Linked DNA regions of Ovis aries. The protein of the gene in region 2 purifies or fractionates together with the protein of the main gene of each other region. This does not show direct contact. Links are inferred from orthologs where the notes say so. Each region holds a gene or a part of one and is shown on either strand. Other genes may lie near its edges.

Region 1 (3,446 bases), on a different chromosome or scaffold from region 2:
CAACCATGCAACGGTGGGGATCGGTGGGCGGCTTGAAGGATTGACCCAGGACCTCCAGCAACTGCAGGAGAGCGAGCAGCAGCTGGATCACCTGCTCCACATCTGCAGCACCCAGCTGCGTCTGCTCTCCGAGGATGCGGACAGCCAGCGATATCCTTGAACTGCCTGGAGGGTCACCAGGGCCCCATCTAAGTGGGAGTGGAGGGCCTTACCTTGGGCCCTGGATTCAGGAAAGAGTTCTGGCTTTGGATACCGGTCCTGGCTCAGCATTCACTCCCAGTGTGACACTGGACAAGTTACTTAACCTCTCTGAGTCTCAGCTTCCTCTGGAAAAGGGGAAAAACAATCCTACTTCAAAGCTTTTCGGATTAAAACCAGAAAAGCTAATATCAGTAATAACTGGTTTATTTAACACAGGGATAACATTTATTTAATACAGGGATTTAATACCTGGTTGTAGCTTCAAGGTTAGAGTTGCTTTTATTTGCAAAAATATAAACTTTATTTTGAAAGAAGTTATGTTTATACATTTTGGAGATAACGGCTCAGACGGTAAAGAATCTGCCTGCAGTGTGGGAGACCCGGGTTTGATCCCTGGGTCAGGAGGATTCCCTGGAAAAGAGAATGGCAACCCATTCCAGTATTCTTGCCTGGAGAATTCCATGGACAGAGGAGCCTGGTGGACTATAGTCCATGAGGTCATAGAGTCAGACATGACTGAGAATTTAACACTTACACACACACACACACACACACACACACACACACTAATTGACATCAAGGTCATGGGTCAGAATAAATTCTTAGGACTATGCCTGGATTTAAGTAATTTTTATGAAATGATTATAGGCAGCTGTCATTACCTTGAGCTTCAATAGGTAGAGTGATCTCATTGTATAGATGTAGAAGCAGGCTCAAGGGCATGAGATCTGCTTGACCCCCAACCATGTGCCAGGCCTTGGAGTGGGTGATGCAGAGGACAGGAGTGACTAGGCAGCGATGGGCTCTGCCTTCTGAGCTGTCTGGGTGGGTGGCCCCCAAAGGCCAAAGATCATGTGGTCCTTGACTCCACCAACCCTGGCCTATGTGACCTGCCAGGACCTTCGTAGCATTGCAGACCCTGCAGAGCAGATGGTCATGGTGATCAAGGCCCCCCCTGAGACCCAGCTCCAAGCCGTGGACTCCTCGGAGGTGAGACCTGGGAGTCTAGACGGGACTAGGATGGACTGGACTGGGCTGGGCTGGTAGTCCAGCTGAGCCTCAGTTTACCCTGCCTGCTACCTCCATCCAGAACTTTCAGATCTCCCTTAAGAGCAAACAAGGCCCCATCGACGTTTTCCTGTGCCCTGAGGAGAGTGTGGGCGGAACCAGCCCTGGAAAGACCCCGTCCCAGGGGGCAGCTTCGGGGGAGGAGGAGAGGGCAGCTGACCTTGCCACCGCGGTGCCACCACCACCGTCGTCACCTCCCTCATCCCCTGCCACGGATCCCAGTCAGTCCCTGCTCAGCCTGGAGCAAGGTTGGTGAAGGCCGGGTGGGCAGGGTGGGCCCGGCCCCTCCCCGAGGTGGGTGGGCAGGTGTGTCAGCCCCTCCCTGCCGGGGGTGTCCCCGGCTGTGATGCTCCTGCATCTCCCCAGAGCCTCTGCTTTCCCGGATGGGTGGCCTGCGGGCCCCCGTGGACGAGGACCGCCTGTCCCCACTCGTGGCGGCCGACTCACTCCTGGAGCACGTGAAGGAGGACTTCTCCGGCCTCCTCCCCGAGGAGTTCATCAGCCTGTCGCCCCCCCACGAGGCCCTCGACTACCACTTTGGCCTCGAGGAGGGTGAGGGCATCAGAGACCTCTTCGACTGTGACTTTGGGGACCTCACTCCCCTGGATTTCTGACGGGGCTCAGGGGGACCAGGGCCTCCTGAGATGCCCACCCCGTCTCTGCAGCCCTGGAGCCCCCCGCCCCTGGCCGTCCTAGCCTAATTGGAAACATTTAATTTATGCCCCTCTCTCCTACCTCCAGAGGCTTCTAGCTCTGGAGCCTGGCTCCTGCCAGGAGGCTGAGCAAGCCAGGAAGGGAAGAATTCTGTTTGTGGTGTTTGTGCATGCACCCAAGCCCCGACGTGTGTGTCCACGGGGTGAGTGGTGTGTGAGCATGTGTGTGTGCATGTCCCGGGGAATGAAGGTGAACACATCTGTGCGTGCACTGAAAACACGCCCCAGTGTGTCCACGTGTGTGTGCATGAGTCCATGTGTGCGCGTGGTGGGGGCTCTAACTGCACTTTTGGTCTTCTTGCTCCAGGGGCCCCATGAGGCCCAGGGTGGCCACCTGCCCCCAGAATCCTGTGTGCTGACCAGGCCAGGTGGCGAGGCCTTGGCCTGCTTGTTGGCAGGACAGCGAGAGCACTTCTATCGTCTTAAAGGTTTTTCTGATTGAAGCTTTAATGGAGCGTTATTTATTTATCAAGGCCTTTTTGGCAAGCTTGGGGCATCAGCAAAGGGTAGGAGGGATGTGGGACTGGTGCCGCAACTCCCTTACTCCCTGAGTGAGGGCAGGGGTCCTTGAGCTGTTCTTTGCCCCACTCCGAAGGAGCTGAGGCCTGAGTGGTTTATTTATTCGGAAAGCGAGGGAGGGAGACACAGACTGACTGACTGACAGCCATGGGTGGATTGAGGGGGTGGTCCCTCCCGACGGGGTCCCTGCAGGGCCCCAGCTGCCCCCAGGATGGATGTGAGATGGGAGAGGTGAGTGGGGGACCTTCACTGACAGGGTGGGCGGGAGGGGTGGGGTGAAGGGCCTCCCCCCCCCAGCCCAGACCACAGGGGCCCTTCCTGTGGCGTTTGAAGTGCCCCCTCCACCCTACTTCTTGCTCTGCCCCACCCTCCAATCTGCACTTTGATTTGCCTTCCTAACAGCTCTGTTCCCTCTGCTTTGGTTTTAATAAATATATTGATGGTGTTTGGGCCCTGTTTGGGGACTCTGTACTGGGAGCAGGTCTGTGGGTGGGAGAGGTCAAGGTTGCTGGTGTGATGACCATTCCCTACTTTACGTTTCCCTGTCCCTGCCTGGCTTCATTTTATTTGAGCCTCACAGCCCCAAGAATAATCGTTTTCATCACCTTTTTTTAATCCTAATTAAAAAACTGGTTGAGTAAAGTAAGCAATGAATTCCTTTTTCCAGCCACAGAGAGGCCACCCTGATCAGTTGGCTATGCTCCGTCCAGATGTTTCTGGACATTTGTAAACAGGCAGCAGATAATTACAACCAGCTGATTCTGTGTCAGGTTCTGGGGACGTGTTCCTCCCTTTGTGGAGCTCTCAGAATCTGCTGGAGGAAACTCTCAAATAAACGAGAAAATCAGGGAGAGCTTCCTGGAAAAGGTGGTGCCTGACCTAAGGCTGTGGGATAGTAGAAATTAACTGAGAAGGAAGAGGAATACACCAACCAGGAGAAGGCAA
Region 2 (4,922 bases):
TTTAATGCGCTATCTAGGTTGTCATAGCTTTTCTTCCAAGAGATTGGCAGACTTTCCGTAAAGGGTCAGATAGTAAGTATTTTAGGCTTTGTGTGCCTGGGAGGGCTTCCCGAGTGCACTAGTGGTAAAGAACCCACCTGCCAATGCAGGAGACTTATGAGATGTGGGTTTGATCCCTGGGATGGGAGGATCCCCTGAAGAAGGAGTTGGCAGCCCACTCCAGTGTTCTTGCCTGGAGAATCCCATGGACAGAGGAGCCTGGCAGGTCAGACATGACCAGAGCGATTTAGCATGCACGTGCCATATGGGTGAGTCTCTGTAGTAACTATTTAGCTACTCAACTCTGCCATTATAATGTAAAAGTAGTCATAGATAATAAAACTAATGGGCATTGTTGTATTCCAGTAACATCTTATTTAGAAAAATCAAGCAACCAGTTAAATAACCCAGATTTGCCTGCCAACGTCTAGAGCAGAATGTGTGTGTGTGTGTGGTGTGTGTGTTGGGGTAGGGTGGTTGTGGTAAGAAGTTGGAAAAATAGATTAAGAAAGTCCTATTGAAGTTGTTCTTTATGCTTTATCCTATAGAAAATGGGGAACCATTAAGGATTTTTGAGTAGGGGAGTGATGTTATCAAAGCTGTGTATTAGGAAAATAACTGGTATGGCAGATAGTTTGAACTGACAGCAGAGGGACCAGTGGAAGGTTATTGCTATGGATAAATGAAGAGATGGTGAGTTTATGGGGCTTCCCTGGTGGCTCTGCTATGGACAGAGGAGCCTGGCAGGCTACAGTCCGTGGGGTTGCAAGAGGTGGACACAACTTAGCGACTAAACAACCAACCAACCTGGTGGCTCAGTGGTAATCTGCCTGCCAGTGCAGGAGACATGGGTTCAGTCCCTGATTTGGGAAGATCCCACATGCCTCGGAGCAACTAAGCCCATGTGCCACAGTCATTGAGACTGTGCTCTGTAGAGCCGGAGAACCACAGCTGCTGAGCCCACGTGCTGCATACCTTAAAGCCCGTGGTCCGCAGCAGAAGGCACTGCAATAAGAAGCCTGAGCACCACAGCTAGAGAGTAGCCCCCATTCTCCTCAGCTAGAGAAAAGCCTGAGCAGCAGTGAAGACCAGCACAGCCAAATAGAAAAAGAAAATTAATGGATAAGCTAATTTTTACAGAGATGATGAGTTTAGTCTTTAATCTATAAAATGGGAATAATACTCCCTGTCTTAACTATTTTCCAGGGTATTTGTGAGAATCCAGTAAGAAAGTGATTGCAAAAGTGCTTTGACATCATAAAGTGTTCTGATGTGCAGGAGGTGAACTGTGACTTACAGTAATTCTGAGTAGTGATGATTATTCTTTCTGTTGTGGGAGTGAATTCCTTGGAGACAGTGAGGTGAGTCACCTCACTGGCCGATGTTCCCCAGTAGCTTTGGACTGACCCACTCACACTGTCTAATGCCTTTGGGTTCCAAGGGAAAAAACTGGGCCAGACAGACATCCTTAAGTGCTCATCTCACTACGGTCCCCTGCTTTTTGTTTTCTTTTGGAGTTACCCTTCCTTGATGTGGGAGAGAATCTTGGAGCCTAGAATGAACCAGACAGAATTTGCCTAGAAATTTGTTGTAAAAATCTGTGGGTTCTCCTGGGAGTGTGTGTCTAACTGTGTCACTGAAGCTGTCACTCTTTCTTCTTCAGGGGATGTTGGAAATTACTATTATGGACAAGGCCACCCAATGAAGCCTCACCGAATTCGTATGACTCACAATTTACTCCTTAACTATGGTCTCTACCGGAAGATGGAAATCTATGTGAGTTACTGGGAGCTTCACCCCTCCCTAGCCTCTTCAGCTCTGGTTCCCCATATATCATTCATTATCTCTTTTTTTTTCAATTACTCATGAAATGTGTTGAGTGACTGTTACGTGGCAGACATTGTAAATGGTAGAGATTGTTTTTTAACGTGCTCACTCTAGTGCTGGTGAACAACATGTACACAAATTGTACTAGAGTGTGTAAGGGCAATGACTTAAAAATGTGTAAGATTCAGGGATATTGAGGTGGAATGTGGAAGGGAGCCTTGGAATGTTTCCTAGAAGTGATAGCTAAACAGTGTTTTAAAGATTAAATAGAAATTAGCCTGGAGTTCAGGAGGGGACTAGCATTCTAGGCTGAGGGAAGAGCATATACAAAAAGGCAGAAAGGTAGGAACAATATGATGTGTTTAGGGAAATGTAAGTAGTTTAGTGTGCAAGTATTGCTGCAGTATAAAGTTGGCAAGTGTGAGAGAGGGGAGCTAGAGCTGGAGAGGTCAGCAAGAGTTGGGTGTGCTATATTAAGCAGTTTTGCTAGGCCAGGGTCAAAAAATCTAGTCCCTAAAAACTAAGTGATTGGAACTGTGTTGAACTAGATACCAAGTCTCTATAGTTACTGGAGCGTATGGACTTTCTAGCCATTTGGCCTGGCTCCAGCTGATGTCTTTTGCCACATCTTCCAGTTTTCCCTGATGGCTCAGCGGGTAAAGAAATCTGCTTGCAATGCAGGAGACACAGGAGACATGGATTCCATCCCTGGATTGGAAAGATCCCCTGGAGGAGGAAAATGGCAACCCGCTCCAGTATTGTTAACTGAAAAATCCCATGGGCAGAGGAGCCTGGTGGTCTGTAGCCCAAAGGGTCACAAAGAGTCAGACACGACTGAGTGACCAAGCACATAGTGGTTTTTAAAGAGAAGCCAGAACTCTGGATTATTACATAGAGTCTTCAAGGTTTAAAATGTTGGCCCAGGTTTGTTGGAAACATGTAGGAACAAAAGTGCATGAACATATCTGTGAGCCAAATTTGGTCCAGAGTTTCCCAATTTGAACTTTTCTGGAGGCTGTAAAAAACAAAAGAAGTGTTTATTCAAAACGTTCTGTTTATTTGTTCGGCTGTGCGGCTCTTAGCTGTGGCCCACAGCGTCTTCTGTCTGCATGGTGGTGTGCTGGCTCTTCAGGTGCAGCATTCAGGGCCTTTCACTGCGGCATGCAGGATCTATTTCCCTAACCCTGGGATTGAACCCAGGCCCACTGCATTGGGAACGTGACGTTTTAGTCACTGAATCACTAGGGAAGTCCCAAGTGAAGTATTTTAAATGAGAAATAGGAATAGGCATGCATTTTAGAAGCAGGGAGGCTAAGTTAGGAGGCTGTTGCAAGAGTCCAAATGAGAAAATAAGGAGGGGCTGGGGGCCTGTGTTGCCTTATGGTTAGAATGTAAGAGTTGATGAAGTCTGTGCCGACAGCTTACGTAACCTAGCAGCAGCAGCATCCTTCCCCACCATTCCAGAGACTGAAAGGAGAGGAATCTTCTGTCCCAGGCGACCGTGTCACGTCTCTGGAGCCCCTGGAGGCAGCTGGGGAAGCAAGGAGGGAAGGTAGATGGAGGAGCAGATGGAACTTGGGACCAGAGAGCATTTTCAGGTGTGAAGGGCATCTGGGAATGAAAAACATAAAAGATAGCAGAGGTTTTCAGGGACTCCAGGGAACAGACTAGTATTTAGATACAGAGAGGGTACCTGAATGTGGAATAGTAAGCACCAGGGCTCCACGGGGCTGCCTGTTGCACATCTCAGCCATGCTCACCTGGCCTCAGTTTGCCTCCCTCCCTGCCACTCCACCCTCAGAACCCTCCATTTCAGCCAGATCAGATTCTGCCTCTTTCCACCCCATTCTGATGGGGAGGATTATTTACTCCACCTAGTCATATCTTTCTCATTTTCAAGAGTTGCGTTAAGCACTGTTTCTTTTTTTCATTCAACAGATTTTTGTTGAGTACTTGTTATAACCCAGGGACTTTATTAACCTCCATGAGTGATACTGATATATTAATAATAAAAAAAGGGTCATATCTTTAAGTGAGAGGAGAAATTAACTAACATTTGTTGAAGATTGCTAGGTACCAAGCCAGGGCTACTGTTATTTACTTAATCTTTATAGCAACCTTGATTTTAATCACTCTCCGCTGTGCCTACCCTATACTATTTTTATTAAAGAAGAAAGCCCTTCCTAGCAACTTCCTAACAGATTTCCCTTTAAGTCTCATTGGGTCATTTGCCATACTTAGACCATTCACCAGCAATTTGATCCTTGGGGCTGGGTATACCCAACCAAATTGAGATCTGTTAAAAAGAGGGAAGGGAGAGAATAGCTCTTTGGGAAGTAACCAACCATGGCTGTCATAGGAGATAATAATACCTTATTGGAGATTACTTCATCTGTGTGGTATTCTTATTGTAAACTAAAGCAAAAGCCCAGTGTAATCTCTTGCTGAAATCGCTAGACCATGTTCTCTTTCATGTGATCTTTTTCCTTTTCTGGTTCTATCTCCCCCCCCCCCCCCCCAAAAAAAAAAAATTCAATCTTTCGACTATACTGCAAAGCTTGTGGAATCTTAGTTCCCCGACCAGGGATCGAACCTGTACCCGGAGCGCAGAGTCTTTACCACTGGACCACCAGGGAAGTCCCTGGCTCTACGTCTTTATTGAGTATGAATCTTTAGTCCTCTTCTCGCAACAGCGTTTCTCTGTTGATCTCTTCTTTCTTCTCCTTTCTCTGGGCTATGATCCTAGCATCCCTTTCCCAAAGGACAAATAGCCATTTATTTTAGTGTCTGTCCTGAAATTAATGGCTTTTGAGAGTTAACTCCTGAAAGAAATTCCCTAGACTTCTCATAGAAGTTTCTATACCTGAAGGAGACAGATTGAAGACTTTTTCACACAATTTCACCTTCTTGGGTTCCTTCTCCAGTTCTTTCTCTGCACATCTAATTAATCTCTCCCAGAATCAAATCCTCACTTTTCATCCAGGCATCTTCCTATTTACATAATTAAGAATCCTGCTCTCTTCCTTGCCTTGGATACTGATTTTGTATATTCCCAG
Region 3 (3,500 bases), on a different chromosome or scaffold from region 2:
AGATTCTTAACCACTGGACCACCAGGGAGATCCCCTAGTTCATGTTTCTAAGAGAGGGAACTTGATTGGCTCCGCCTATTTGTTTACCTATTTATTTATTTATTGAGTCCAGGCCCATCACAGACTTCTGGCCAGGTGATCAGCAATGTGCACAGATGTTTCTTTGAGCAGGGATACCAAAGGATCAAGTAGCTGTGTACTGACGTGCACTGCTCTTCTTTGAAACTGTTCTTCTGCTAGAAATATACCCTCCAGCCTATGAATTCCATATCTGTTATTTTCCCCTTTCTGTACATGTGTCTCTTTCATCCTTGTACTGTAGTTATTCATGTGACCAACTCCTTTTTCCAACTGTGAGCTCCTCAAGATCTGGCCCATGTCTTAATCATTCCCTTAAGCATTGTGTCTTCCACTTAGTAAATGTCTTTGTCTAATAAGTATTTGTTTACTAGATGAATTGATTTATGAGTATCAATCATAATCTTAAACTTCTTCATATCCTTTTAGGCCCTACAGTAGTGCTGGGCTTTCGATAGCAGGGTCCCAGAAGAACGGATGAATTAATCAGTGAGCAAAACAATGAATTAACGAATCAATGAACTAATGAGCCGTTGAGCAATAGCTTGAAAGTAAGAGAGTTCACATCTTATGTGAGGGTCAAGATCTGCGGAATCAGTGTAAAGGTGTGGCGTGTATGAAACTGGCTATTTTTAATCCAGGCTCCCGTTTTGTGTTTATTTCTCTAATGAGTCGTGGTAGATACAGTTGCTCATTGCAAAACAGCCAAGTAAGTCCTTTCCTGTCCTTTGCAACTTGTCTTGCAGGTGTGAGCAGCATCTCTTCACCACGGTGGCATTTGGTCCGTCCCTTAGCCCGGGTGAGGATGTAAAACCCCTCGCTCTGCACATGCGTGGTAGAGGCCAACAGGAACACCTGGCTGCAGCCACGGTCACGGACATGTCAGCCGTGGAGTAGTGTGGACGCTTTCTCTCTGCTTCTCAGGGTTTCAGTCCTTTCGGGTTTGTGTCATTGACCTTTTTGTATGGTTTTGTGGCTGGACGTTCACAACCAGGGCAGGCACCATGGGGGACCAGCAGCTATACAAGACCAATCATGTGGCCCACGGTGGTGAGAACCTTTTCTACCAACAGCCACCACTTGGCGTCCACGGCGGGCTGAACCACAACTATGGGAATACAGTGCCCGGGGCTGGAATGGATGCCCCTCAGGCATCACCCATCTCCCCCCACTTCCCTCAAGACACTCGGGATGGTCTAGGCTTGGCTGTTGGCTCCAAAAACCTTGGCCAAGTGGATACTTCGAGGCAGGGAGGGTGGGGAGGCCATGCAGGGCCTGGAAACCACATCCAGCTACGTGGCAACCTGACCAACTCGAACATGATGTGGGGGGCACCAGCCCAGGCGGAGCCCACCGATGGCTACCAGTACACCTACTCGCAGGCCAGCGAGATCCGGACCCAGAAGCTCACCAGCGGTGTCCTGCACAAGCTAGACTCTTTCACCCAGGTGTTTGCCAACCAAAACCTGCGAATTCAGGTCAACAATATGGCCCAGGTGCTGCACACCCAGTCAGCGGTGATGGACGGAGCACCCGACAGCGCCCTCCGCCAGTTGCTGTCCCAGAAGCCCATGGAGGCCCCAGCACCGGCTCTCCCGTCCCGCTACCAGCAGGCGTCCCAGCAGCCTCACCCTGGTTTCACTGGTGGGCTATCCAAACCGGCTCTCCAGGTTGGGCAGCACCCGAGCCAAGGGCACATGTATTATGACTACCAGCAACCGCTGGCCCAAATGCCAGTGCAGGGAGGACAGTCGCTGCAGGCCCCCCAGATGCTATCCCAGCACATGCAGCAGCTGCAGCCGCATCAGTATTACCCGCCACAGCAACAGCCACACTCCGGGCAGCAGCGGGTGTCCATGCAAGAAATGCAGCCGCCGCCGCAACAGCAGATTCGCCCGCCACAACCCCAGCCACAGTCGCAGCCACGGCAGGGTTCAATGCAGATACCTCAGTATTACCAGTCCCCACCCATGATACAGCCTTTGCCAGAGCCGCAGCAGCCCCAGATGCACCTGCAGCCCCCTTCTTATCACAGGGACCCCCACCAGTACACCCCGGAGCAGGCGCATGCAGTCCAGCTGATTCAGCTGGGCTCCATGCCCCAGTACTACTACCAGGAGCCCCAGCAGCCCTACGGCCACCCCGTGTACCAGCAGAGCCACCTGCCTCAGCACCAGCAGCCTGAGGACAGTCAGCCCAAGACTTATCCAGGCGACAGGCAGGCGCAGGCCATGCTGAGCTCCCACGGGGACCTGGGGCCTCCAGATACAGGAATGGGAGACACAGCCAGCTCCGACCTGAACCGGGCCAGCAGTGCCCTCCCGCACCGGCCGCTCCTGTCCCCTGGCAGCATCCACCTCAACAACATGGGGTCTCAGCACCAGCAGCTGTCTCCCAGTGCCGTGTGGCCCCAGGTATCCTCAGAGTGGACGTTCATCCCGGGATCTCAGGGTGCGCGTATGCCAGCCAGAGCTGAGTCCAGTGCAGTGCCTAGTCCCATCCTCCAAACCCCTCCGACACTTTCGTTCTTTTCTTTATTCCACAAACATTAACCAGACATTGTGGAATACAGAATCAATTGTGACTCAGTCTTTTGCCCGTAGAGCTTATAATCTCACTAAAGAGGCGGCCAAAATATATATCAGGTCCCAGATGATGCATGTCATGGTCAAGGCCTCATCAGGTGCCCAGGGACCACACAGTGGGGGTGTCTTGTCCCCTTTAGGTCTGTATCCTTAGGGGACTTCCTGTGAAATTGTTCCCTTCTGGGGAGGGAGACCATATTATGACAGCATTTCTCAAAGTCTATTGCTCAGAATAGGAGTTCCATAGAATGTTCAGTGGACATTGCTCGGGGGAGGGGAGTGGGTTCTTGGGAGAAATCAATATGAAGGGATATCTCATGTAGTTGCAGACGTGAAAAACCTTAGCTGCCCACAGGATCCAGGCAGGTAAAGTCAATAAGCAGAATGGCCTGATGTGGATTTTGTGGACTGGAGGGCCAATGCCCCAACTAATGATATCCACAGTCAGGGTTTTTAAAAACAGTCCAGCCAAGCAGACCATGTCTGCAGATCAGAGTCAGCCTGCGGGTGACAGGTATTAACTCTTAATTGTTTCCCAAATAGATTTGATCATAAAATTGCCTACTGTGTGCTGGGCACCATTCATGTTTTGGTGTGTTCCAAGTGCTACACTCAAGTGACAACAGATTCAAGGGAGGAGGGTACCTTGAATAAAACCAGGGTAAATGAAGAGAGGGCTCTGATGAAGGCTGAAGGCCAGAGATAACTCCCTCTGACCCTGTTTTGTTTAGGACTCAGGCCAGTAGTAACTGAGAGCCTTTGTGAATGCAAGAATAAGATGGCATGGCCCAGGCTAAAAAGAATTCCAGCAGGAGGTCTTGTGTGAGGCTGTATCTT

What was found. The genes of interacting proteins can lie anywhere in the genome.
Region 1: the proteins of HDAC1 (region 2) and E2F1 purify together in Homo sapiens (affinity purification with western blotting; 5 studies listed by BioGRID and IntAct, with this or other methods). This does not show direct contact. The link is inferred for Ovis aries from reciprocal best matches to the Homo sapiens genes HDAC1 and E2F1.
Region 3: the proteins of HDAC1 (region 2) and TRERF1 purify together in Homo sapiens (co-immunoprecipitation; 5 studies listed by BioGRID and IntAct, counting the BioPlex papers as one, with this or other methods). This does not show direct contact. The link is inferred for Ovis aries from reciprocal best matches to the Homo sapiens genes HDAC1 and TRERF1.

What each region holds. Positions count from the first base shown.
Region 1 is NC_056066.1:63,133,772-63,137,217, reverse strand, and holds the end of E2F1 (transcription factor E2F1), read left to right. Parts: coding exon 1-150; intron 151-1,076; coding exon 1,077-1,191; intron 1,192-1,291; coding exon 1,292-1,517; intron 1,518-1,635; coding exon 1,636-1,883; 3' UTR 1,884-2,946; downstream 2,947-3,446. UniProt on the Homo sapiens protein: Transcription activator that binds DNA cooperatively with DP proteins through the E2 recognition site, 5'-TTTC[CG]CGC-3' found in the promoter region of a number of genes whose products are involved in cell cycle regulation or in DNA replication.
Region 2 is NC_056055.1:235,252,918-235,257,839, reverse strand, and holds part of HDAC1 (histone deacetylase 1), read left to right. Parts: intron 1-1,245; exon of another isoform or gene 1,246-1,400; intron 1,401-1,702; coding exon 1,703-1,815; intron 1,816-4,922. UniProt on the Homo sapiens protein: Histone deacetylase that catalyzes the deacetylation of lysine residues on the N-terminal part of the core histones (H2A, H2B, H3 and H4).
Region 3 is NC_056073.1:16,008,897-16,012,396, reverse strand, and holds part of TRERF1 (transcriptional-regulating factor 1), read left to right. Parts: intron 1-824; 5' UTR 825-1,082; coding exon 1,083-2,492; intron 2,493-3,500.